Lonchura striata: one gene and its partner. The protein of the gene in region 1 interacts with the protein of each later gene in a biochemical or structural test. Links are inferred from orthologs where the notes say so. Each region holds a gene or a part of one and is shown on either strand. Other genes may lie near its edges.

Region 1 (12,482 bases):
AATTTCTCTCACCCTACAACCATTATGTACTAAGCACCTCAACTGAATTGCTTCAGACAGGAAGCAGTTTTCAAAACTGAAAGAGAATCTGCTTCTCCAGCTGGAACTCAGGGAGGCCACGATACATCACACACATACAGCAGGCTCTGAGTCAGCCCTCACTACCTCAAACTCTGGATTCTTCTGGAATTGCACCTTTGTGTCAATAAACGTTTTCTATCACACCAAAATTAGTATCACTTCGCTTATACCAATGGGAACGTGATGGGTCAGGTGTACAGGCCACTGAGGGCTAGAAATACATCCTGCAGGCATTTGACGGGAGAATAATCATGGAATAGGACACAAGCAGGAAAGCACCACATGCAAAAACCCACCAATATTTAAGCGAAGTTTGTTAAAGAAATAAACAGCTGGATTTTCAGACAGCATCACCTTAAACTCTCCGAAATAGCTCAATGTCAAATACAAAACTTGTCACTGCACAGGTTGCAGGGCGCGCATCGCTGTGACACTACAGCCCTGCCCGGCCCCGTCCCCTCGCTGTGGCTGTCCCGCTCCCAGCCCGTCCCGTTCTCCCCGCCGAGGGCGAGGCGCATCCCCGGTGTCCCCGGCAGCAGTGAGGCCGTGAGGGCCCCCGCACCCACCGCGCAAAGTTTCGCGCCCCGCTGCGGCTCCTCCGCGCCGGGCGGGCTGGGAGCGGGCCCCGCCGCTGCCGGGGAGCCCCGCCGGAGCCGGGGAGCCCCGCCGGGCCCGCGGCCTCCTTCCCCCGCCGTCACGGCCCGGCAGGCCGCGGCCCCCGCGCCCCCCCGCGCCTCTCACCGGGTCCCAGCGCCTCCATGGCGGCGGTGGCGGCCTCGCTGCTCTCGCCGCCGGCCCCGCCGCCCGCCCCGGGCCCCGCCGCCGGCCCCGCCGCCGCCGCGTAGCGCTTGATCTCGGGAATATTGGCGGCGGGGTGGGGGTCCGGCGCGGACACGGGGGCGGCGGGGCGGGAGGCGGCGGCGGCCGAGGAGGAGGATGAGGAGGAGGCAGCGGGGGCGCGGCGGGGAGCGCTCCCCGCGTTCCGCTTCCCCGAGCGGCGGCGCGAACAATCCCCGCGCTGCGCCCCCGCCGAGCCCGCGCGCGCCCCCGCCGCCGCCAGCACGCGCCCGAGCGCGCTCCCGGGCCGGGGATGAGGAGGAGGAGGAGGAGGAGGAGGAGGAAGAGGAGGAAGAGGAGGAAAAGGAGGAGGAGAAGGGAGGGAGGAAGAGGCCGCTCCGCGCTGCCCGGCGCCGCCGGCTCGCGCACGCGCGCCGCCCCCCCCGCGGGAGCGCGCACGCCGCCCGCGCGACCCCGCAGCCGCAACAGGTGACAGCTCTGAACCACGGAACCCCAAATATTGCGGGTTCGAAGGCAGCTCTAGAGATCGGCCACTGACAGCTCTGAACCACGGAACCCCAAATATTGTGGGTTCGAAGGCAGCTCTAGAGATTGGCCACTGACAGCTCTGAACCACGGAACCCCAAATATTGCGGGTTCGAAGGCAGCTCTAGAGATCGGCCACTGACAGCTCTGAACCACGGAACCCCAAATATTGCGGGTTCGAAGGCAGCTCTAGAGATTGGACACTGACAGCTCTGAATCACGGAACCCCAAATATTGCGGGTTCGAAGGCACCTCTAGAGATCGGCCACTGACAGCTCTGAATCACAGAACCCCAAATATTGCGGGTTCAAAGGCAGCTCTGCAGATCGGCCACTGACAGCTCTGAACCACGGAACCCCAAATATTGCGGGTTCAAAGGCACCTCTGCAGATCGGCCACTGACAGCTCTGAACCACGGAACCCCAAATATTGCGGGTTCGAAGGCAGCTCTAGAGATCGGCCACTGACAGCTCTGAACCACGGAACCCCAAGTATTGCGGGTTCAAAGGCAGCTCTAGAGATCGGCCACTGACAGCTCTGAACCACGGAACCCCAAATATTTCGGGTTCAAAGGCACCTCTGCAGATCGGCCACTCCCAACCCCCTGCCAAGGCAGGGTCAGCAGAGCAGGTGACAGGGACACGTCCATTTGGAATGTCTCCGGATAGGGAGACTCCATGCCTGCCCTGGACACCTGTTCCCGTGCTCAGCCACCCTCAACATAAAGAAGTTCTTCCTCATGTTAGGGTGAAACACTGTGATGGGCACCAGTGAAAAGATCCTTTCCAGTGGTGCCCAGCAACAGGGTGAGGAGCAATGGCCATAAACTAAAATACTTCCTCAGCATCAAGATGAACTTTCTATGAGGGTGGCCAAGCACTGGAACAGGATACCTGGGGAGATTATGGAGTCTCCTTGTCTGGAGAGGTTCCAAACTCACCTGGACACATTCATGTGTCACCTGCTCTGGGTGACCCTGCCTTGGTAGGGGCATTGCACTGGATGATCTGCAGAGGTCCCACTCCAACCCCAACAATTTTGTGATTTGGTGAAGTCTGGCACCATTCTCTTGGCACCTGCCTTTCAGATGTTGCTGTGGATTGATGGGATCCCCTCTCAACCATCCCTTCTCCAGAATAACCAGGCCCAGCTCCCAAAGTCTCTCCTCAACAGAGAGATCTCCAGACCTCCCATCATCTTTGTGGCCTCTGCTGGACCCCCTCCAGTATCTCCTTGTCTTTCTTGTCCTGAGGAGCCCAGAACTGGACACAGCACTCCAGATGTCCCTCACTAGGGCTGGGTGTCAGGATTCCCTCCCTGACCTGCTGGCTCTTCCCAGGGTGCATTTCATGCATGAGGCTCTTCCAGAGCCACCTCAGTAGAGGTGAGAGCTGCTGCCCCTCAGGCACCAGGAAGGAGGGGATTGTCTGTCTGTACCTCCCCTGTTCTGTCCCAAAACCCAACACCTGTTTGCAGGTTTGATAATTAACCCAGAACTCCAGCACACTCTGTGACAGCTACCCTGCCTGCCCACAGTGATGCTGCTCCAGCTTCACCAGTCCTCCACTGCTCCCCAAAACCAGGGAATTCTCCCTGCTCAATTGATGACACCCCGAATAACTCCCAGTACCAGCTAAACAGCCTCAGTGGGGTTTAAGACACCTGACAAAACAGGATTTGTACAAGACAGGTGAGCCACAGCACTGAACCTCTCAGGGTTGTGACCACCAGCCCCTGAGGCGCTCTGTGGCCACAGAATAGCTCAGGATCCATGAGGGCTGGAGATCCATGGCACAATCTTGGTCATCACCCAGGAGATGCCTGGGAAGCGTCAGGGGTGGGAACCCGTGGTGTTCCACTGACCAGGGCGTTCAGCTCCCGGGGAGAACCTTGCCATGGCCATGTCCTTTTATCCTCACAGACAATAAATTTGTCCTCTGTTAAAGAGACAACACTTCCAGCCATGTGCCATTAAATAAAGAGCCTAGGGACTTTTAGCCTTTTTAAGCAGTTTACGCTATTTTAGCAAGCTGCTCCCTTGTGCACCTCCTGGGTTCTGTTTAACCAACAGCTCTCTGCTGACTCAACAGAAAATCAGAAGTCAAAACATTTTATAAATAATAAATGCTGAGTCCACTTTATTTGCTTTTTTTAACCTGTGGGGCTGATATTTTCCAAGTTGAAACATCAAAAACTATTTTAAAATTAAATGAAATCTGAGATTCTCATGTAGATCTGAGATTCTCTCATAATTCCCTGACAGCAGTTGATGAACACCTGAGGAAAAAACCAGTTTTACCAGACCGGTAACAAACTCCACAGCATCTGACAACATTTCCATGCTATTATTCAGCATATCTATGTAGAAAAAACACATATGTATGGAAACACAAATAGTACTTTAAAAAAAGAAACACCAAAGATACAATCTCTGTCTCAAGAAATCTGCAACACAAAGGCTCAGTCCTGTAAGATGTTGAGTGTGATAACTAAAGCCTTTACTCACTGCTTTATAAATCCAATTAACTTGATAAATATTACACACATAGTAAGACATCCCTACTGCCACAGCAGTCAGAACCCTATTTCTGTAATTTAACCCAGCCTTATATTGAAAATAGCCACATTTGCAGGGTCAAGACTGGATTTAGGAATGACATATCAGAGTTATGACAGGATTATCTCTGTGGATTTCCTTCTAAACACCTCATCTGCTACAAGCTGGGGAAGGAGTATGTTGTTTAGTAAAAAAACAGATTTCTAAACTAGCTTTCATAACACAAATATCTCAATATGGGGCTTGATCCAGTGCTGAAAGTCTGTGTGCCATGTAGAACCTCCTTAATGGCAAACATTTTACCTGTTCCATGGCTGCCTCTGCGTGCCAGGTATGAGTAACAACCCAGGAGCAGAAATTAGCTAATGAGGCCAATCTTTTTGTCACCTTTTTCTTGTCACCTGACTCTGACTTCCATCCCGGCACAGCCATGAGGAGGTGTGTTTGTGCAGAGCCAGCATCTGTCCCTCTGTTATTAACACTAATTATTAAACTAATCACTGTAGCTCCTTGCAGCAGCTAGCAGAAAGCAGAACTGTGGTGTTTGTGGTGGGTTCCATGGACATTTGCTTTTCTCACTTCCTTTGTTCTCAGGCTTGTTGGCTCCATGTGAACTGACATGGTAGATCATTCTATCTGCTCCTTGTCCCTGGTAAAACCATATCAATAAAATACCCAAATAAAAAACTGACCAAACACCCCAAAACACTTTTTATTTTTTCTTCGCCTTCAGTGATAGCAGATTTCCACTGGGTGACATGGAAGGAAATGCATTACTGTAGCAGTATGTTCTACAAAGTAATTGTAATTATGAAAAAAATGCCAAATACCCCCAGTTGGGGATCAGAACAGGGTCCCTGACCTCACCCCAGCTCAAGGCTCTCCCTCCAGCTACTTGTAAAAGAACTACAGAACTAAACGTAGCAAAAATGGATAAAGTAGAATATTTTCCTACTTGGATTGATTCTGTACTAGAATATCCCTGTATGGGCCATTCACCTTGCTCTTGGACTTGATGATCCTTGTGGGTCCCTTCCAACTTCAAATATTCTGTGAAATATATAAAGTGATTTGCATCTGTTGAGCAGTTCTTCATTGACTTATATGTTTTCAGTAAATTTTTCTGGAGTCAGAAGTCTTTTTTGTCTTCCCTTAAGGAGCATTAAGCAGCAAGGTTAAGTAAAGAAATCATTAAACAACTATATAATGATGAGTTATGAGAGGTTAATCTTAAATCTTTTGAATGTAGAGGGAATATTCAGAAATTCAAGGTAGAAATTGAAATAAATTGAAAGAATTTACCCAAAAGGTTTGAGCCTTCATTCACCTAACAAGAGTAGGGTTGGCTCAGAGTATGTCTGTACAGCAGCCAATGGAAAATGCATGTATTTTATTCTGTAAATAGGACAGTAATAGCTGTGTGTATCTAATAACGATAAGCTTGACTCGTGTGTTCTCACCCACATGGTCACCTGGAGACAGGACATGTACATATTCCAAAGATCAAAACGAAACATAGGCTCTGTTTAAGCCATGAAACAACGTGAAATGTTTTGGCAGCAGAGCCCTGTCCCTGCAATGTCGATAATTGACAGAGCTGTAAATCCCCAGGTCCTTCACTGCCCTTCCCAGCCCCTCACTTCTCCTCAGGTCCCTCTCGCTCCCCCTCAACCCCTCACATCCCCTCATGTCCCCTTGTGAAAAATGCCAATCACTTGGTTTAAAAAATATTAAAAGTTTAATAATAATAAAATGCTTATAAAAATAGCAATACAATTAGAGTAATAAAGTTTAGAGTTAGGACAATCACAAGACAATAAAAAGCAAAGAATTAACAGAGGTCTGGATGCTCTCAGACACTCAGTCATGACAAGCATCCCTTGTGAACAAAGGAATCACCCTTAAACCAATACACTTGTTGCATATTCATACATCATTCATGGTTATGCATACATTCTATTCTAAACAAAAAACTCTGTTGTATGTCAGCTGTTTCTTTTAATCCCCATGGTATCTCCGAGTCAGAGCAAGGCCTGAAGAAATTAGTTTCTTCTGATAAGAAGCCATAAATTTCTCTCCTTTGGAAGATTTAGGTGTTCCTCGAAGTGTGTATCTCATTCCTAAAAAAAAGAAAAAAAAAACCAACCTCCCCCCTTATACAGAGTCTTTATTTTTTAACTACTAAAGTCTTCATTTTAACTACAAAAGCACAACTAATCAATATAACATAATACATATAGTAACTATCTGCGTAGAGCCATGTAATACGCATTTTTCACACCCTCACGGTCTCTCACATCCCCTCATATCCCCTCATGTCCCCTCACATCCCCTCACGTCCCCTCACATTTCCTCACATCCCCTCACGGTCTCTCACATTCCCTCATGTCCCCTCACATCCCCTCACGGTGCCTCACATTCCCTCACATTCCCTCACATTCCCTCACGTCCCCTCACATTTCCTCACATCCCCTCACGGTCTCTCACATTCCCTCATGTCCCCCTCACATTTCCTCACATCCCCTCACGGTCCCTCACATCCCCTCATATCCCCTCATGTCCCCTCACATTCCCTCACATCCCTTCACATCCCCTCACATTCCCTCACATCCCTTCACATCCCCTCACATTCCCTCACATCCCCTCACGGTCCCGCCCCAGCCCGGGCGCGGGGAGCGCCCCCCCCGCCAGGCGGCGCAATGGTGCTGGCGGGCGGCCCGAGAGCGGGAGCCGCGATTGGTCCATGCGGCTGGGGCGTGGCTTCAAGGAACCCCGCCCAGCAAGGCGGTCGGGGGCGGGGCTCACGGCGCTGTTCTGGGCAGCCATTGGACGATCCCGGTCGGGGGCGGGGCCAGGGCAGCGCGCGAAGGCTCGAAGCGGTCCCCGGGCGGCGGGAGCGCGGGCGGGCCATGGCGGCGGTACCGGTAACAACGGAGGGTTCCGCTGAGGTGAGTCCTGCCGCTCCCCTACGTTCGGCATGGCCGGCCGGCTGCTGACGGCGGAGGCAGCTCGCGACTGCCTGAGGCCTTGCGCCTCATCGGGCTGTGGCGAGGTGGAAGGCCCGGGAGGGACAGCGAGGGAAGTGGCGATTCCAGTAACCGTTTCGGTACGGTGCTCTTTCGGGTAGCACTGCCGGTGGCGGAGTCAGTAGTCCCAGCCACCTCTGCCCGCCACCCGTGATCGCGGGCGATCCCGCGCCGTCACTGGGCTCGCCCTTCCTGGCAGACTACAGCTCCCGGCATGCCCCGTGCCCGCCCTGCCGGCCGCGGGGCACGCTGGGAAGGCCGCGCTCAGCCGGTCTCCAGGGGCGCGGTGCATGCCGGGAGGGCTGCGGGGCCCGCCGTGAGGGGTCTGAATAAAAATAAATAAATAATAAAATAACGAGTGAAAGTCTCCCGTGTGAATGCCATCACATCAGCCAATGTCAGTTCTGTGCTTTTGCTGTGTAAACTCCCACGTATACTACCTTATATGTAAATATGCTACCCCACATGTAAATAGTCACTTGTATTGATAAATATGGTAAATATCAATAATAACAATAAGTATTACTAAATATGTAAATAGCATAATCAGACTATACGGAGAGTGCATATGGATTTCCTTGTGTGTGAGGTTTTGGAATGAATTTGGATGGCAGCAGTCAGGACTACATAAACATTACGTTACCTCATTAAGAAATTTTTAATTTAAAAAATGGTATTTTGCTTTGTAGCTTCCACTGGCAGATCTGAACCCAGACTTGCAGAAACCCCTGGACAGCGACTCTGACAGTGGCCAGGGCAGCTGTGAGACAACCTCCCCAGGCCCCCTTGGCAAGAGCACAGCCTCCTTCGAGGACAGAGGTCCGTAACAGTTCCATGAATTGTTTTTCTCCAACTCTACAGTTTTTGTTTAGTAAATACCTTTTAGGAGATTGTCACTGCTTGACCTGTAGGAATCCAAATTCTTGTTGTTGCTCAGAATGTGGGTAGGCATCTTTAAACCTCTGAAGAGTGCTACAGAAAGAAAAATATTGAATGGGATGTGCCTTAATTACTGATTCACTTTTTTCCTTGTCTTGTTTAATCTATGTAGTGTGATTTTTTATTACTATTTCAAGGCAAGACACTACCAGTGAAGAGTTTTCAGCTTTTCTTTTTTTTTTTTTTGCTTTGCTTTTTTTTTTTTTTTTAAGGTTAGAAACTTTTAACATCAATTTGGGTTAATTAAATGCTGTTCTCTGGGGAGAAGTGGATTTTGGAAAGTTGAGTTTGAAGCATGAAAGATTTTTCACACTTCCATGAGAAGCTCATTTGCTGTGGATGGTGACATATGTCAAATTTAACGGATGTAAATTTGGTTATTTGTTAATTAACTTGTTGCACTTTCCTTTTTTATTTTCATGTGTTTCTCCAGATTCAGAAGAAGAAATTTTTGTGCGTAAAAAAGCAAAAAACCAGAAGGTGCTTCAGGACAGTGAGAGCGAAGAGGAGGAGGAGGATGGAGGCTCACCTGTGCAGGAAGATGCTGTGGGTGGAGACAAGGAAAATGGGGAGGAAAAGGAAAATATTGCTACTGAAAAGAATAAATCCCATCGGGTTCGCCCAGCTCTGCTGGACACTGATGACAGTGACACTGGTGACCCTTTGCAGATTGAAAACCTTGAAACAGGCAGGACATCTGGCTTGCCTGAGGGTGAGCTGGAAAAGGAGAGACCCCTAAAATCTGGGAAAAAGTACAGGAAGCATAAACACAAACACAGCATTGAAGAGGAGCCAGCAAAAGAAGCTGTAGCAAAACCCAGAAGGAGAAAGGAGAAGGAGAAAATAATGGAGTCCATTAAACAGCTGAAGAAAGAAAAGAAGCCTGTGGCAGAGGTGGGTGTTTTAGTACAAACCTTCAGATAACTTCTCAACTAAGTTAAATTTATTGTTGTTTGTGGTTATTCTGTTGCAAAGCTTCAGTGTTGTGTCCACATTCCTGCAGCAGGTTTGAGATCCACAGAACACCATACAAGTTTAACCTGCAAAGTCTGCAGGTTCATTTCAATTTAATTTGCAGTTTAAGGAAGTACAAAACCTAACACTTGATGATTTAATGTAATTTTAAATTAATGTCAAAGAACCAAAGGGACCTTCTGAAGGGAATCACAGGAATAATTTATTCTTCTGGAAGCAGGTGGATGGTGGTGAGAGGCCTCCCTTCAATGACAGTGGATGTCTGCTGGATGACAAGGACCTCTTTGATAATGGCTTGGAAGAGGAGAGTGATCAGCCCCTTGAGGATGAAGAGTCTCTAGAATCCATTCGAGCAGCTGTGAAAAAGAAAATAAAACAATACAAGGTAACAGTTGGCTGTGACACAAAAATTATTGTAAATGTTCTCTTTTTCAAACTGATAGAGAATAGGTTTAGATGAGATATTGGGAAGGAATTTTTCCCTGTGAGGGTGGGGAGGCCCCTGAATCCCTGGAATTGTCCAAGGCCAGGTTGGACAGGGCTTGGAGCACTCTGGGACAGTGGAAAATGTCCCCATGGCAGAGGTGGAAAGGGATGATCTTTAAGGTCTTTTGCAACACAAATCATTCCATGGTTACTGGATTTATCAGGAATTTGTAGCTGAGCAGGTTCTAAAACTCTGATGATGGAGGAGTTGTACTGCTGTGGCAGAAGAGAGGAGAGCCTTCTGGTTTTTGTTTTTAAAGATGGAGGGATGTTGTTCTGGCAAGTTAAAAAGATAATGCTGTAGCAGGAGCTTTGGAATCTGCCCTTGTGTGGGGTTTGTGCTGGTTTATGAGAACCTTGCTGGCTTTGCTGACCAGTGTTAGTTCTGTACAGTTATTTGTGATGTGTTTGCCCTTGATAGTGCCAGTGTATTGATATAAATCTTTGGATTTCTTCTTATGCCCCATAGAACAAAGAACATTTTCCTGACAGTGAAGGCTACAAACATGTATTTGATGAGGAGAATGAGGAGCCTGTATTAAAGGAGCCAAAAAGGAAGGTGAAGTCTTCATCTTTTTAAAACTCTGTATTGTTTGTCGTGACTAAAATGGTTTTGTGTGCACAGTATGGCTTTTTTGGTTTTTTTGGTTTTTGTTTTTTTTTTTAGTGGATTTATTTTGACTCCTTGCTTTATTCCAACTCCTTGCTACTTGAAAGGGAAAAATAAGCTATTTAAGAAGTAGAAATAGAGCCCCATGTTTTGTTCCCTGACTTCAGAAGCCTTTCTTTTCTCCCCTTAAGGAGCGGAAAGCAGCACGCTTAAGTAAAGAAGCCATTAAACAACTACACAGTGAGACCCAACGACTTATTAGAGGTAAAACTTAAATTCTTACTATGGAAAGGTGTATAAACCGTTCAGAAATGCAGAGAAGAAAATGAAAGAATTTACCCAGGAGGTTAGAGCCTTCTTTGACCTAATATGACTTACTGAGGTTTTAAGGGTGCAAGACCATTTTTATTGAAGGACCTGTTAAAGGTATTTTTTTAACTAGTGAAAATAAAGATACTGGTTGGCAAATAAAGGGCACTCAGATGATGTTTTAAATCTTCTCTCACCATCTTTCTCTGGCAGAATCATCTGTGTCTCTCCCATATCATGTGCCTGAGGCCAAAACTGTTCATGACTTCTTCAAGAGCAGACCTCGACCAGCATGTCAAGGAAATGCCATGGCCCTGCTGAAGTAAGGACTTAAACCTTCCTCATCCGATTTTTTCATAAACTTTACACATCTCTAGCTTTTCTTTGGAGGATAACCAGACTTTCTTAGGCTCCTTTAAATCTGCAAAAGTAGGAAATTAGGAGAATATAATTTCTAACATCAGGCAATGCTGCTCTCCTGACAAAGTCAGGATGACTTTGGGGATGAGGGTCAGGAGAAACTCATATGAAGGAACTTACTGATGCAGAGTTACTTTAATGGGATTTAGGCTGAACCCCAATATTTTACTTGGACTGTTGCCTCTCTGAGTAATGTGTAGTAAGATACTGAAGCTACAGTAATCACAAAATCCCTCAGGAATTTCATACTCTGATACTGTAACCAGTACAAAACCTTTACATTTCCTTGAGTTCTCACAATGAAGGTTTCCAGATTTCTGTCTTTCATTTCTGCTTACACACTAATGACAATAATTAGGAAATGGCTCCTCAGGCTTATCTCCCTTTCACACTAACCATGGGTGGTATGTTTCTTTCTGCCTTTTTTAGGTCCTCTAAATACCAGCTGTCCCTAAATCAACAATCTGCAGCCATCGGGAGCAAGGACTGCAAAGATGGGCCAGTGGAAGGTGATCAGTCAGCAGCTACTGAACCAGAAATGAACCTGGGCAGAGATGTTGATGCTTCTGTGGCTGAGCCTCCTGCTGCTGAAGGGAAGAACTTGCCAGAGGACTGTGGTGAGCAGCCCAGGGAGGACAGGGAGGATTCTCATGCAGTTACAGGGACTGTAACTGATGATAACACAGAGGAACAGCAGCTCTCCAACTGCCTGAGCACTGACTGTGATGAGCAAAAGGAGAGTGAAGTTCCTCCAGTATCTGGAGATGCCCTCATGGAAAGAGGGGAAACAGCCCCAGATGCACAAGGTGAAAGAAAGAGCCAACAAGTGGGGCCTGGGCTGGTGGCACAGCCTGAAAAAGTGAGGAAATCCAAGCTGGATAAACTTCGTGAACTGGGAATAGACCTGTCCATCCAGCCAAGAATCTGCTCTGACAATGAATCCTTCATAAACCTTGATGAAGCTGATTCAAATAAAGGTATTACAAGTTGTATTCCTAAGCAGTGTTGATCTGAGCTTGACTGGAAAATTCAGAAATATTTAGGTGGTAGAACAGTCAGTCACATTCACTTACTAGTGTGGATTCTTTGAGATATGTTAACTTTATGTTAATTTAGAGTTGCCTGGTGCCTGGGAAGCTGGGCTGTAAGTGAATTTAGGTCTTGTGGACAAATAGTAGTCAATGGTAAGGTAATTTAATATTAGCTAATATCAATGACATACAAGCTACAGTATAAATATTCTGTGGTGGTTTATTATTAGTCAAATAGAATGGTGTTGCAAATATTTTAGTATTCAAGATTTAGCTTTTAAACTATTATTTTTTAAACTTAGCTTTAAACTAAACTTCGGGGGCAAAAAAAGCTCAAGACCTACTCTTACTGGAACTCTTAACAATCACTGCTTTTACATGCTAGCACATTGATTTAATTAATATGTATTTCAAGAACTAGAAGCCCTGAAAGCACGTTTCTTGAAGCACACTCTCCAGACATCAAAATCCAAAGGGGAACGGGCCATAAATATGAACATTATCCGTAAGGAAACAACATCTGATGGGAAAGAAGAGCTGAGAGCAGACGTGGTGCCAGCAGTTTTGGCTGCAGAGAGCCTGGAGGAAACAGTCCACGCAAAGCCAGGTTGGTGGGGGAAAAGAAGAGATAAGAATTGAATTGGAAAACACTTTTATCTTTATTTTCCTCTCTCATGCTGTTTCCCAATGCTGCCCTACAAAATACAGGTGAAGGGATCTTCATC
Region 2 (12,221 bases), on another chromosome or scaffold:
GTCTGAGAGATGGCACAAACACTGGAATAATTAAGTAATTTTTACTGTTTGGAATGTAACGTTTACTTTTGAAGCTTAATGTTTATTTTAAGCCACTGTAAACCACAAATTTTTACCTTTGTTTGCTTGAGTTCCTCCTGCATGTTGGGCAGCTTTTGTCTTTCATCTTCTGCCTGCCTTGTGTTTGTGCAAGACTTGCATGATCCTGGTTGTTCCGTTACTGAAAAGCAGATCCTCCTTTTTTAAATAAACTGAAGCGTTCTGAGCACACACCTGTGTTGTGTCTTAATTGTAGTAAAAGCTGTTAATGAAGATTTCTTTGCCCAAAGATGGGAAACTGGATTTGGAAAGACACCAGAGAGGTGGGTGAGCAGCTGAAACTTGCTCTGATTAGAGGTGAAGTTTACCTAAAACAAGCTAGTTGTTCTAAAGAATCAGAACTCCGAAAGCTGGGGGAGCAATAAATGGCTAAAACTAAATAAAACTTGTTATGGTGGTTGTTACAACTTTGCCACATAACTTTTGGGGTAATTCATAGGAAAAAAGCAAGTGGGGCCTTGTGACAGGTCTTAATGGCAGGGGTTCTGCTTGTGCTCACTCAGAAGCTCCCTGAAATAATGGAATATTGCTGAGCAGATGAAAAGGGGAATTTAGGAGGAGCTTGAAATTTAAATTTAGCACATCAGGAGAGTTTAGTGGCAGCTCTTGTAGGTCAGCCTGGTGGGGAAAGCAGTGAATGCTGTAAAAACCTCTTCCTAAAAAGTCTATTGATAAAAAGGAGAGTTGTTACAGAAAAGCAATTCAAGTTTGAATGAGAAGTAGCAATTGATCATTCCTTAACAGAAATTTTTAAAAGATTATGTAAATTAAGGGGGAAAATCTGAACAAGCCACAGACTTCTTTGCCCTAATACCCCACAAAACATCATCACAGTGACAGGTCCCACATTGGCATTAGTGGCAGCTCTTTCCTGTCCCTTTGACCTGCCAAACCAGCGTATCCTGAGTTCCATTTCTCCTCTAAAAATGCCTGGGAGACAGGAAACACCTCGGGGCTCTGATCAGATCTGCTCATCTCCTGCATGCCCTCAGCTGTGATCCATGATCAGCTGCTCCATCAGGGCTGTGCAGCTGCCGGGTGGGAAGGGGGAAGGATGAGGAGCTGCTCAGTAAGGAACAATTCTCATAGAGACCTGAATCACAGATCCAAGAATGGTTTGGGTTGGAAGGGACCTCAAAGCTCAGCCCCTGTCATGGGCAGGAACACCTTCCACCAGCCCAGGTTGCTCCAAGCCCTGTCCTGGCCTTGAACACTTCCAGGGATGGAGCATTTTCTCTGGGAAATCTGTGCCAGGGGCCTCCACACCCTCACAGAGAAAAAAAATTCTTTCCCAATATCCCATCTAACCCTCCCCTCTGGCAGTGGGAAACCATTCCCCCTTGCACTCCAGACCCTTGTAAAAATAGTCTCTCTCCATGTTTCTTGCTGCCTCTTTCAGGCACTGCAAGGCCACAGTTAGGTCACCCTGAAGCCTCTCTTCTCCAGCCTGAACAATCCCAATTCTCCCAGCCTTTCCTCCCAGCAGAGCTGCTCTGTTCTCTGACCATTTTGGTGCCTCCTCTGGACTCACTCCAACAGCTCCATGTCCTTCCTGTGCTGGATTGCTCTTACACATCATTAAGCAGATAAAATCTGATGGGGCTGGAACACACGAGGCTGTGGAGGGATGTGAGGAGCTTGGGACCAAATACGTGCCTCTGTGGTATGCACCCACCCTGCTGGGAACCTCAGGAAAGAGCAAAACTTGGTACTAAGGAGCAACTAAACTGCTTTTGCCTCTAATAAACAAATAAATGTGTTCCATCTGCACAGATAAAATCCAAATATTTACAACAGGACCTGCAGTCTTAAAGCTGGGTTTTTAATAAGAACAAAATGCAGGAGAAGATGTTTACTTGGCTTCTTTCCTGCTCCAAAGGGAATACGGGAGGGTGACCTTCAGCCCACCCTCCCTGGAGCTGGAGCTGGTTTAGCTCCAGCTGTGCCCCTGCTGCTAATCTTTGAGTCTATAGGGAAACAGGAACAGCTCCCAGCTCTTCTGAAAATGAGGGGAAAAATTCAGAAAGAGAGATAGTGCTAAAGCTCAGGATTGAGAGGAATTGAAAGATTTTTCCAACCCGATCCAGCCCGGGACTCCACTTTTGAACACCAGTACCCCAGGCTGACCATAGATGTCAGCAGCAGCTTCAGCTACAAACGCTGGGCTGTGTCAGGACCAGACACGGCGCCTTCTGCCTGGGACCAGTTTATTTAGGAAACGTGAAGAGAATATAGAAATGCATGGACGAGAGACTGGAATTGCTCATTTCCTGAGTCTGTGTTATCTTGCCAGGTAAGGAAATGGCTTCAACAAAATCCCATGTCGGCAGCTGAATCCCCATGGCTTCCTCAAACCCAGCAGTGCTGGAGGGTCAGGGATGGGCACTGAGGGCAACCCACTCCCCCCAGCAGATTTTATTTCCATCCCAACACATGCAATTTTCTTCCAGTAGTCCAAATTATTTATCTGACCCCTGACCTTGAGAACATCCCAGCCCTGAGAGCACTAATGAGCAATAAACTGTTCTCAGCTGAGCCTGAAGGTCCAAGAGCTCCTTTTGACCCAGCCTGGGGCACCCACACTTTTCCCCAGGGGATGTTGGATGTACCCACATCACAAATAAGAGCTCAGGGGTCACTGCTGGCACAACTGGGCATGTGGTTCAGCAGGAGCTGCTGGATGCTCCAAAAACAGCTGCAAAGTGAGTAAACAAAGTGTTTAGGAGAGGAGATGGAAGTGTTTAGGAAATAAGAATTCCTGAGGGCCTAATATATTGAATTTTAAATCTTACAGGGTAAAATGATCTTTGGGCAAGAGACAGTGATGAAACAGATGCCATCCTATCTCATCCCCATAGCCTAAGGCTTTTCCTTTTCTTCATAGGGATAATTACAAATTGCTGCTGCTCCAGAGCACTTTTGAGCTTTTCCTGGCAGACCCCTTCTCCCCTCAAGTCCGGAACAGGACAGACAGCACATTTCTGTTGGATTTAGCTGGAAGGAAGGATCTGCTGCTGCTGTCCTGCAGCCAGGGCTGCACAGGGGGGCAGCTGCTCGGCGGGGACAGCAGATGTCTGGGCCGTGGGGACAGAGACAGAGGGGAGGGGAGCAGGGCCATCAGCTGTCAGGCTGCTGACCTCTTACCCTGCCATGGGAAATCCACTGCCAGATCTCAGGGATCTCATCCCCAGATGAGGGGGTTTCATCGTTTATTCTGATTTTCAAGGCTTTTTCTGTCACCAGACCATGTCCCATTTAGAGCTGTGATTGTTGACTTCCCAGTCTTTGGAGGGCAGCCTCCCTGCTTTAGAGTTCAGGTGTTGCCTGCTAATGTTAAGGGAGATAACACTCGACTCCTTTTAGAGCACTACTAATTTTGGTAAATTCCAAACCTGTTTGTGTATATTCCTGCTCTGGATTGAGTGGTTACAGGGCTGTTTCTATTGGAAGAGAGATGGGTGAGCCCTTGGTACCTCCTATATTCTCACCTCTGCCAAAACATGCACTTTTAAGCTTTGTCTTTCCTTTGACTTTGCTTTTTTCCCCTTTGGACATTACTCAGAAGGATATGAAGTCTGTCTGTAGGGTCCCCCCTGCCCACGCTGGCATGTTGGGGTGGTGCCTCCCTGTGCCTGATCTTCAACAGGAGCTTCTTTGTCCTTCTCGCTGCTCTGGACAAAGGGGAATTGTCCTGCCCACCAGCTCCACGAGCCACTTCATCCCAGCCAGAGATGCAGCAAGAGAAGCAGGATGTTTCCTTTCTGTTCATAAGAAGGTGCTTGGGAATCAGGCTGGAATCTCACCTGTTTGGGCTGGGGATGAGGAGGCAAGGAACCTCCTTTGCTGTTCTCACTCACCCCAAACGTTTTTGGGTCAGCTTTGACCCACCCCCACCCCCTTCATTCAACACGCAGGCTGGTTCAGATAAACTCCCAAGGGATTATCACAGGGCTAATGAGAATCCACACATTTAATAGGACTTAGCAGAAAAACAACTCAGACTAAAATTGATGATAAATCATTTTTCAGAATTAAGATGCTCTTTGGGAGTGCCCAGATGGTTCAGAGTAGAAAAAATGGGAGCTGAATTGCAAAAATACCTCTCCCTTTGATCAAAGATATTGTCAATACTGTGATATACACATTATTATTATTTTCCACAGATAATAGCACAAAGAATAAGCAAAATAAACTCATTGTGGAGTAGAGACTCAGGCTAGGGTTTGACAAGATGCTGCCAGGACAGGCTTTTCAGGTGGCTGGATTGAGACACTCTACTTTTGATATTGACAATTTAAAATGTTTAATAAGAAATATTAAGCCTTTATTAAACCTGTACTGAGTCAGGCGAGTGCATATAGTTCTGAACAGAGAAAGCAAAAACCTAAAGTGAAATGTCCATTTTGATTAGATCTGGGCTTTTTTTTTCCGGCTAACAACAGCATCAGGGAAAAAATTCCAAGCTCGGCCTCAGGATTACAAGGTAGTAGGAGAAATAAATAATTGTAATGCCTAAATTATGGATCTAAACACATTTTCCAAATAAACCTTTGGTTTATCCTTGGTAGGGCCCATATGCTGGCAAGCTGTTATGTGTGTGGCTGGATAATGGAATTGTCCCCAGGCTGGAGGCCTGCACACCGGGGAGGAAGTTTTTCCTCATGATGTTTTCAACCATTTTCAAGGAATTAGTAACCTGGTTGGGTGGAAGGTGTCACTGCCTACAGCAGGGAGGGAACGAGATGGTCTTTAAGGTCCCCAGGGAGGGAACAAGGTGGTCTTTAAGGTCCCTTCCAACCCAAAGCAGTCCGTGATTCCGTGATTCTATGAATATGCCAGTTTAAAACATCCATCTGGAAAACGCCAAGTTCTTCACCAGAATGAGCCTGGGAGCATCCAGGTGACAACCCCAGTGGGTTTCTGCTTCTCTTCCACAGACTCAAGGAATGGTTCAGGTTGGAAGGGACCACCCTGGCGGATGCCGAGCCCCAGGGGGTGCTGAGCTGAGCCCCAGAGGATGCAGAGCCACACTGGGTGCTGAGCCCAGATTTGTGTGGAGCCTGATGGATGCTGAGCCCCGGAGGGTGCTGAGTCCCAGTGGATTGCCAGGCTGAGTCCCAGAGGATGAAGAGCCCCACTGGGTGCTGAGCTCCAGTGGGTGCTGAGCCCCAGAGGAGGGTGAGTCCCAGTGGATTACCAAGCTGAGCCCCAGAGGATGCAGAGCCACACTGGGTGCTGAGCCCAGATTTGTGTGGAGCCTGATTGATGCTGAGCTCCGGTGGGTGCTGAGCCCTGGAGGGCGCTGAGTCCCAGTGGATTGCCAAGCTGAGCCCCAGAGGATGCAGAGCCACACTGGGTGCTGAGCCCAGATTTGTGTGGAGCCTGATTGATGCTGAGCCCCGGAGGGTGCTGAGCCCTGGAGGGCGCTGAGTCCCAGTGGATTGCCAAGCTGAGCCCCGGAGGATGCTGAGCCCCACTGGGTGCTGAGCCCCGGAAGAGGGTGAGTCCCAGTGGATTGCCAAACTGAGCCCCAGAGGATGAAGAGCCACACTGGGTGCTGAGCCCAGATTTCTGTGGAGCCTGATTGATGCCGAGCCCCACTGGGTGCTGAGCCCCGGAGGACGGTGAGTCCCCAGTGGATTGCCAAGCTGAGCCCCGGAGGGTGCTGAGCCCTGGAGGGCGCTGAGTCCCAGTGGACTGCCAAGCTGAGCCCCGGAGGATGCTGAGCTCCACTGGGTGCTGAGCCCAGATTTCTGTGGAGCCTGATTGATGCCGAGCCCCACTGGGTGCTGAGCCCCGGAGGACGGTGAGTCCCAGTGGACTGCCAAGCTGAGCCCCGGAGGGTGCTGAGCCCTGGAGGGTGCTGAGTCCCAGTGGACTGCCAAGCTGAGCCCCGGAGGATGCTGAGCCCCACTGGGTGCTGAGTCCCGGAGGGCGCTGAGTCCCAGTGGATTGCCAAGCTGAGCCCCGGAGCATGCTGAGCCCCGGCTGACGCCGAACGCGGCGGGTGCCGAGCGCGGCTGCCGCCGAGCCCGGCCGGGAGCGGAGCCCCGCGGCCGCCGCTCCCCCTGGCAACGCCACGCGGTTTCCAGGCCCGCGGTGCCCCGGAAGCGGCGCGGGCGCGGCGCGGCCATAGGGCGGAGCCGCGCGGGGCGGTGCCGGCGCCGAGCGCTGCCGGGTCGGGCTGTGGCCGTCGAGTGCCGTGAGGGAGGAGCTGCGGCGGGCGCGGGGAGAGCAGCGGCGGCTCCGGCCCGGCCCAGCCCGGCCCGGCCCGCCCGCGGAGCGCAGCGCCGGCGGAGCAGGTGGGGGCGCGGGGCGCGGCGCGGGGCCCGGGCGGGGGGCGGCTCCCGCGGCCCGCCCGCGGCGGAGGCTCCGCCGGGCTCGGCGCTCCCGGTGCGGCGGCTGCGGCTCCGGCCGGCCGGCGGAGGAGCCGCCGTGGGGCGGCCCGAGGGACCCCGGGGGTCGCAGCTGCCCCCGGTGTGGGTCCGGGGCGCTGGGCTGGTGCTGCCCGCGGGGCGGAACGGGGGGGTTCGGGTCGGAGCAGCCCGAGCTGAGGGACTGTCCCGGCGGTGCCGGGCAGGGACCTGCCGGGGAAGGAGCTGGGGGTGCCTGGGGAACTGCTGGACCCGGTGGTGTTCCCGGTCTGAGGGAGCGAAGTGCTCTGTGTAACTGGAGGTGTATCAGCAACTTATTTGTGTGAAGAAGTTATTTATCCCCTCTACGTCTGGGAAGAATTTCTGTATGCTGTTTGGCACACTGTGAAGCTCTAAGGGCTGGGGTTTGTTGTCTTATCCAAATCACGGAATCGGGATGGCTTGGGTTGGGAAAATCTTAAAGGTCATCTCATTCCACCCCTTGCCGTGGGCAGGGGCACTTTCACTAGACCATACTGCTCCAAACCACGTCTAAGCTGGCCTTGGACACTTCCAGGGATGGGGCAGCTCAGCTGCCTCAGGAGGGTTAGTTACATCTTCCCTTCCAAATGTCTCACGGCTACCAGCAGTCCCCTTTAGCCTTTCTTGACAGTGACTTCTCTGTTCCTGGGAAGTCTTCTGAGCAGAGTCCAAGCTCTGTTGGGCTGCCTCCTGTGCCTGACTTCATGTGACATTTTCTACCTCACTCATTTCTGGTTTCTATGACCTGCCTGAAGTCCCACTGTCACGGGTGTGACCTCAGACTTGACTGGTTTTTTTTTACTAGTGACCTAATGCCTGTCAGCTTGTGCAGCCACTCCCCAGGTTCTTCAGGATCTGCTTTTTCATTCTCTCAGCTCCCCAGCTGCTGGCTGTGATCTACCCAGATAAACCATCCCTACATCCCTGGTTCAGTGTTGTGTTGGTAACTCTGTTGGGAGAGGTTGATGGGTAAACTGGGAATCACGAGCTTTGTTCCTGTTGAGAAGCCCTTATCAAATATTAGCAGCATTTTCCCACAGACACATTCCAAAAAACACAAAGAGTGCCTTGGAATTATGAGTTTGCAGAGATTCAGGCTGCAAAATTCCTCAATGCTTGCCAGTTGCTCAAGTTTTAGAAGTGCCACCTGGATGGTGAAGTGTTACTGATGAGAGAGTTTGGGTTTCGTGACATTGCTGTCGTAGAGAGATGCACACACCGGTTATTTGCACAATAATCTGGGTTCACACTGGAGCTCTTGGAGTCAGGGATGAGCTGGAGGTGCTGCCAATGATAAATATCAGCAGGAGTTCTTGTTCAGGGAAGGTGACCGCTGGCAAGGTGTGACCAGATAAGAAAGAATTTAAATATCATGGTGTGTAATAAAAGAAATCATTATTAGTAAAAAACATGCAGATGTACTTAGGAAGAGTGGAGGATGGAGGTGAGAGGTGCCAGGGAAATCTCAGTTTCCATGTTGAAGTTCTGGTTGCTGGTGTAGCGGCTCCCCGGCACCGCTGATATTCCAGCTTTTTGGCAAAAATCTTGCTGACTCCAGTGCAATTTTAGACTATTGGCCTGATAAAATCAGGGCTTTATGCTCACACCCTTCGTAAGCACCTAAGCTTTTTTCAGATACAAGTGTTTCTTTAAACAGTTCCTGCCCTGAAATAACTTTTTCTGGACTGGGCTGCCACAATTTGTATTCTTTAGGAGCTGTTGTGTGGTGGGGAAGAGGAGTCTCATCTCTCTGCTTTCCTCTGCAAATCTATAACTGTGTGTTTTCAACGGCTGGCCAAAAGCCCTCACAAGTTTGGGCTCCTTGCTGTACTTCGTGTAAGTTCTGTTTTCTGGACATGAGGGCTGGAAACTCACACCAGATTCTCACAATACATTTAACTGGGACATACCTGCTGGTGTTTATGCCAGAGCTGCTTCCTATAAATCAGCTCTTCTCTCCATTGGTGCTTTCGAAAAGCTTGGCCCAGCTGTTGGCTCTCTATTTTCGAACCACAGTCACTCTTTTCTCTGTTCTCTGTTGCTCTCTTCCCTGCACATGTTTGCTCAAAGCTAATCCCTGAGGGGAGCAGAGCAGGGAATGGCAGGGGAGGGCTCTCTGGGATGCTGTGCCGTGTCACGGAGAAGTCCTTTGTGCTGATATCCTTCATGTCTGAGGCAGGTTGGTGGCTCATGGGACATGGCAACAAGCTAATATCCTGTCTCTCTTTTCCCTGGATTAAAGAGCTTCCTAGTTCATAGTAGTGTTTCTTGTGAAGTTTGAAGTGTGTAACCTTGCCTCATTCCAGCCCATCTATCTTGCTCTTCTATAGGAGTTTTCATGCTGTTCCAGTTCTCTGTGTGGGCAACAACTTGGTTTGCTGTGCTGGAGTCACCAATGGAAACTATTCAGGCAGGTTCAGAACTCCACTCTGAGGGGAGCTGTGAGCTGGGCAAGTTCCTAAGTCCATCCTAGTCCACAGCCACTTGCAGCTTTCCCTGCCCTGACACTGCTCCCTTTTCCAGCTCTTAGGAAGCAATCAGCCACTGTGTATTTTCAGGTTAACAGATGAAATCCTGTGTAATGCCTTAAAAAGTGCTACCAGATGAGACCAGGAATCCATCTGGCCTGGTATCCTGCTCACTGGTAACCAGGAGCAGATGCTTGGGGAGGGGAGAACACAAACACAGCAGATCTAATCCAGGGAAATAATGTTTTATTTTTCTCTCTCCAGCAGTTCATGACCTCCCTGAGCCAGGTGTTGAATTTAGGAACCTTTACACTTCTCTTCATGATATTAATGATTTTAGGAAAATACTTTTTCCATTCCTGATAGTCTCTTGGCTGAATTGTCCTCATATATTTAGACTTTCTGTAGCTCTCCTTGTATTTCATGTCATTACCAGCTCTGCTTCAGCTCTGCTTCCTCCTTGAGACAGGTAAGGCAGGAGGAGTGGGGCACAGGACAATGGAGGACATTGACAGAGGTGCTGGGTTATATTTATGGTGCAGATACCTTTTTAGAGGTATGTTATCCTATATTATTGTCTCTGTAATTACAAATGTTGTGCTTGTTCATTAGTGATCTTAAAACCCATGGAGCCATGTTTTTTGGTGGAATATTCTGCTGTAGTCCTGCTTCCTAGGGTTGGCATGAGTTCAGTCTGTCATGTTTCTTGAAGTTGACGTTAGGGTGGTTGTTCCTGATGTGCTGCTCTGTGAATTGTATCACCCACTCATATCACGAGATTTTACTGCAATTCCTTGGAGTCATTGCTCTTATTTACTTCTCATCCTGAATTATTCAGAGTAGCAAATGTTGTCATCTTAGAAACACAGCTCTGTGTAAAGCAGAATCCTTTGGTGAGTCCTTGCTGCAGAATGGACCAGTGATATGTTCTTCTCCCTTCTTTACCAGTTATTTCTGTACATGAAGGATTTTTCCTTTTATCCTGTAGTTTTTATCTCCAGAGATCTTTGGTGGATTCTGCCTTGTAGTATTCTTGCTTTTTTCAATGGAGTGTATCAGCTGATTTTCCCTTGTTGATGTGCTCCGTCCACTGCAAAAGGAAGAAGGAGAAGGGTAAAAAAGACAACAGCCCCTGACTTCTGAGACACAGCTTCATTTTGTACAATATAATTAGCCCTGCAGCAATTTAGGCTGGTCTTTAGGCCAGCTCTGGTTTGCCTAGCATGGCTGCCTGAGCTGGGTTGTCCAGACTCTGCTGAATTGTTCTGTGAAAGCTGGGCCAAGAGACTTTCTAGTACCAGCTTTAACCAAGGGCACTTCCCCATCTCCTCCTGTGTGACTTTGGGTTATAGTGAGGCTGTTACTGTCACCTCATCATATTTTGCTACCAAAAGCCAAGCTCAACATACTCAAGAGTGTGTATAAACACAATTTTAATTTTTGGGAGATGTTGACTGATGATTTATTAACACAATAATAGATCATGTGGCTTCTAACCTTTTTTCCCTTACTAAAAGCTTGTAAATTTAGATTTTGTTTCCTTCTTGGACATTTAGCCTTGCTCTAGAGATGGGTTGGCTTTGATTGCTTGGTCAGATCACACTGTAGGGCTCACACCAATATTCCTACTGCTATCCAAGGTGAAGTCAGGAATTAGTTTAGATTAGATGTTAAGATGAAATTCTTCTTTGTGAGGAAGGTGAGGCCCTGGCATAGGTGGCCCAGAGAAGCTGTGTCTGTCCCAAGTGGAGTGTCCAAGTGTCCAAGGCCAGGCTGAACAGGATTTGGGGCACTTTGGGATTGTGGAAGGTGTCCCTGCTCATGGCAGGAGATGGAACATGATGAGCTTTAAGGTCCCTTCTCATCCAAACATTCCATGGTTCTATGAGTTGCTGCTTCTCTCATCCACTGCTGGGAAGGAATCACTTTTTGCTATTGAAGAACTTGGTCCTGGTGTCACACACACTGACCTGGCATTTGCTCTGGTGACATGTGGGACATGGAGCTTGGTTAACACTGTGTGTTTTTTTAATGTCTAGTGGCTCCTCTACTCTCCACTGTGTTTTAAATGAACTTGCTATGTCCACTTGCAAACCAGACATTTGAGTTTTTCCATCATACTTTTAGACTTACAGCATTTGTGCAGAAACACTCCTGACCCTTGTTTTTGTCTTTCCATCTGACTTGCACTGTGTTGATTCTTTTCTAGCAGGGGATTTTCACATGGCTAATTCTTGTCCCATCTGTAGGAGTTCTTGAGGAGATGAGGCTCTTATGAATCACCTTCTTTCCCCCCAAAGATGCATCCTCCTCAAATATACTCTTCTCTGGATCTGCTGGCTTTCCTCTTCTGCAGTGTGAGAGAAACCTTTAATTTTGATTGCAGGGGCCACTGTCATGGTGCTGTTTTGATACATTCAGTCCTTGTTCTTTTACAGGCTTCCAGTTGTCCCAAAACCTTCTCAGATCCTAATGAATCCAAGCCCAAGTGTGGGAGCCATTCTTTGGGATGCTGTCACGCAACTCTTGCTCATTGCCTTCCTATTCTCAGCCTGAATTTTGCCTCTGGACATTTCCCTCCTCTTTTGCTGGCTGTACCCTTGCCTGGAGTGCCAGGACAAGGGGGAATGGCTTCCCACTCCCAGAGGATGGGGTTATTTGTGTTCCTGGAAAGAAATTCCTCCCTGTGAGGGTGGTGAGGCCCTGGCACAGGTTGCCCAGAGAAACTGTGACTGCCACACCTGTGGAAGTGCCCAAAGGCCAGGCTGGATGGGACTTGGAGCAACCTGGGCTAGTGGAAGGTGTCCCTGCCCATGACAAGGGGATGGAATAGGATAGGCTTTAAGGTCCTTCCAACCCAACCCATTCTGGGATTATATGAAGCGGTAAAATCTCAGAATTTTTGTACCTACTTCATCTCTGTTCCACATTAACACCCCCCAGCCCCCAACCTTTGTTTTTCACTTGAGGGAGGAGATATTTGAATTCCTTGTTAAATGGCCCATTTAATTTCTGGTTCATCAGACTCTTCCTACCTTTTAAATAATTCCCTTTTTCCTATAAATTGGCAAAAGCAACAATGAAACTCAATAGGGGTGAAATTACCATTTTCTCCTGGCTTTTTGTAGGTTCTTCCTTCTTGTCAGATCCATTTGGAGCAGGCCATCTTCTGCAATGGATAGGTGTCTCTTACCTGTCTGAATCTTCTGGTTTGCTTTGCTCATCTTCGAGCAAATCTCTTCAGGAGAACAGCTTAACA

What was found.
Region 2: of the proteins of CLSPN (region 1) and CSNK1G1, one has a biochemical effect on the other in vitro, tested with the Homo sapiens proteins (2 studies listed by BioGRID). The link is inferred for Lonchura striata from reciprocal best matches to the Homo sapiens genes CLSPN and CSNK1G1.

What each region holds. Positions count from the first base shown.
Region 1 is NC_134628.1:3,983,794-3,996,275, reverse strand, and holds the start of CLSPN (claspin), read left to right. Parts: upstream 1-6,800; 5' UTR 6,801-6,870; coding exon 6,871-6,909; intron 6,910-7,676; coding exon 7,677-7,806; intron 7,807-8,359; coding exon 8,360-8,820; intron 8,821-9,121; coding exon 9,122-9,286; intron 9,287-9,856; coding exon 9,857-9,946; intron 9,947-10,188; coding exon 10,189-10,261; intron 10,262-10,519; coding exon 10,520-10,628; intron 10,629-11,155; coding exon 11,156-11,703; intron 11,704-12,172; coding exon 12,173-12,364; intron 12,365-12,482. Other genes in the region: protein argonaute-4, read right to left, coding at 823-841.
Region 2 is NC_134613.1:7,427,799-7,440,019, reverse strand, and holds the start of CSNK1G1 (casein kinase I), read left to right. Parts: upstream 1-6,325; 5' UTR 6,326-6,401; intron 6,402-12,221.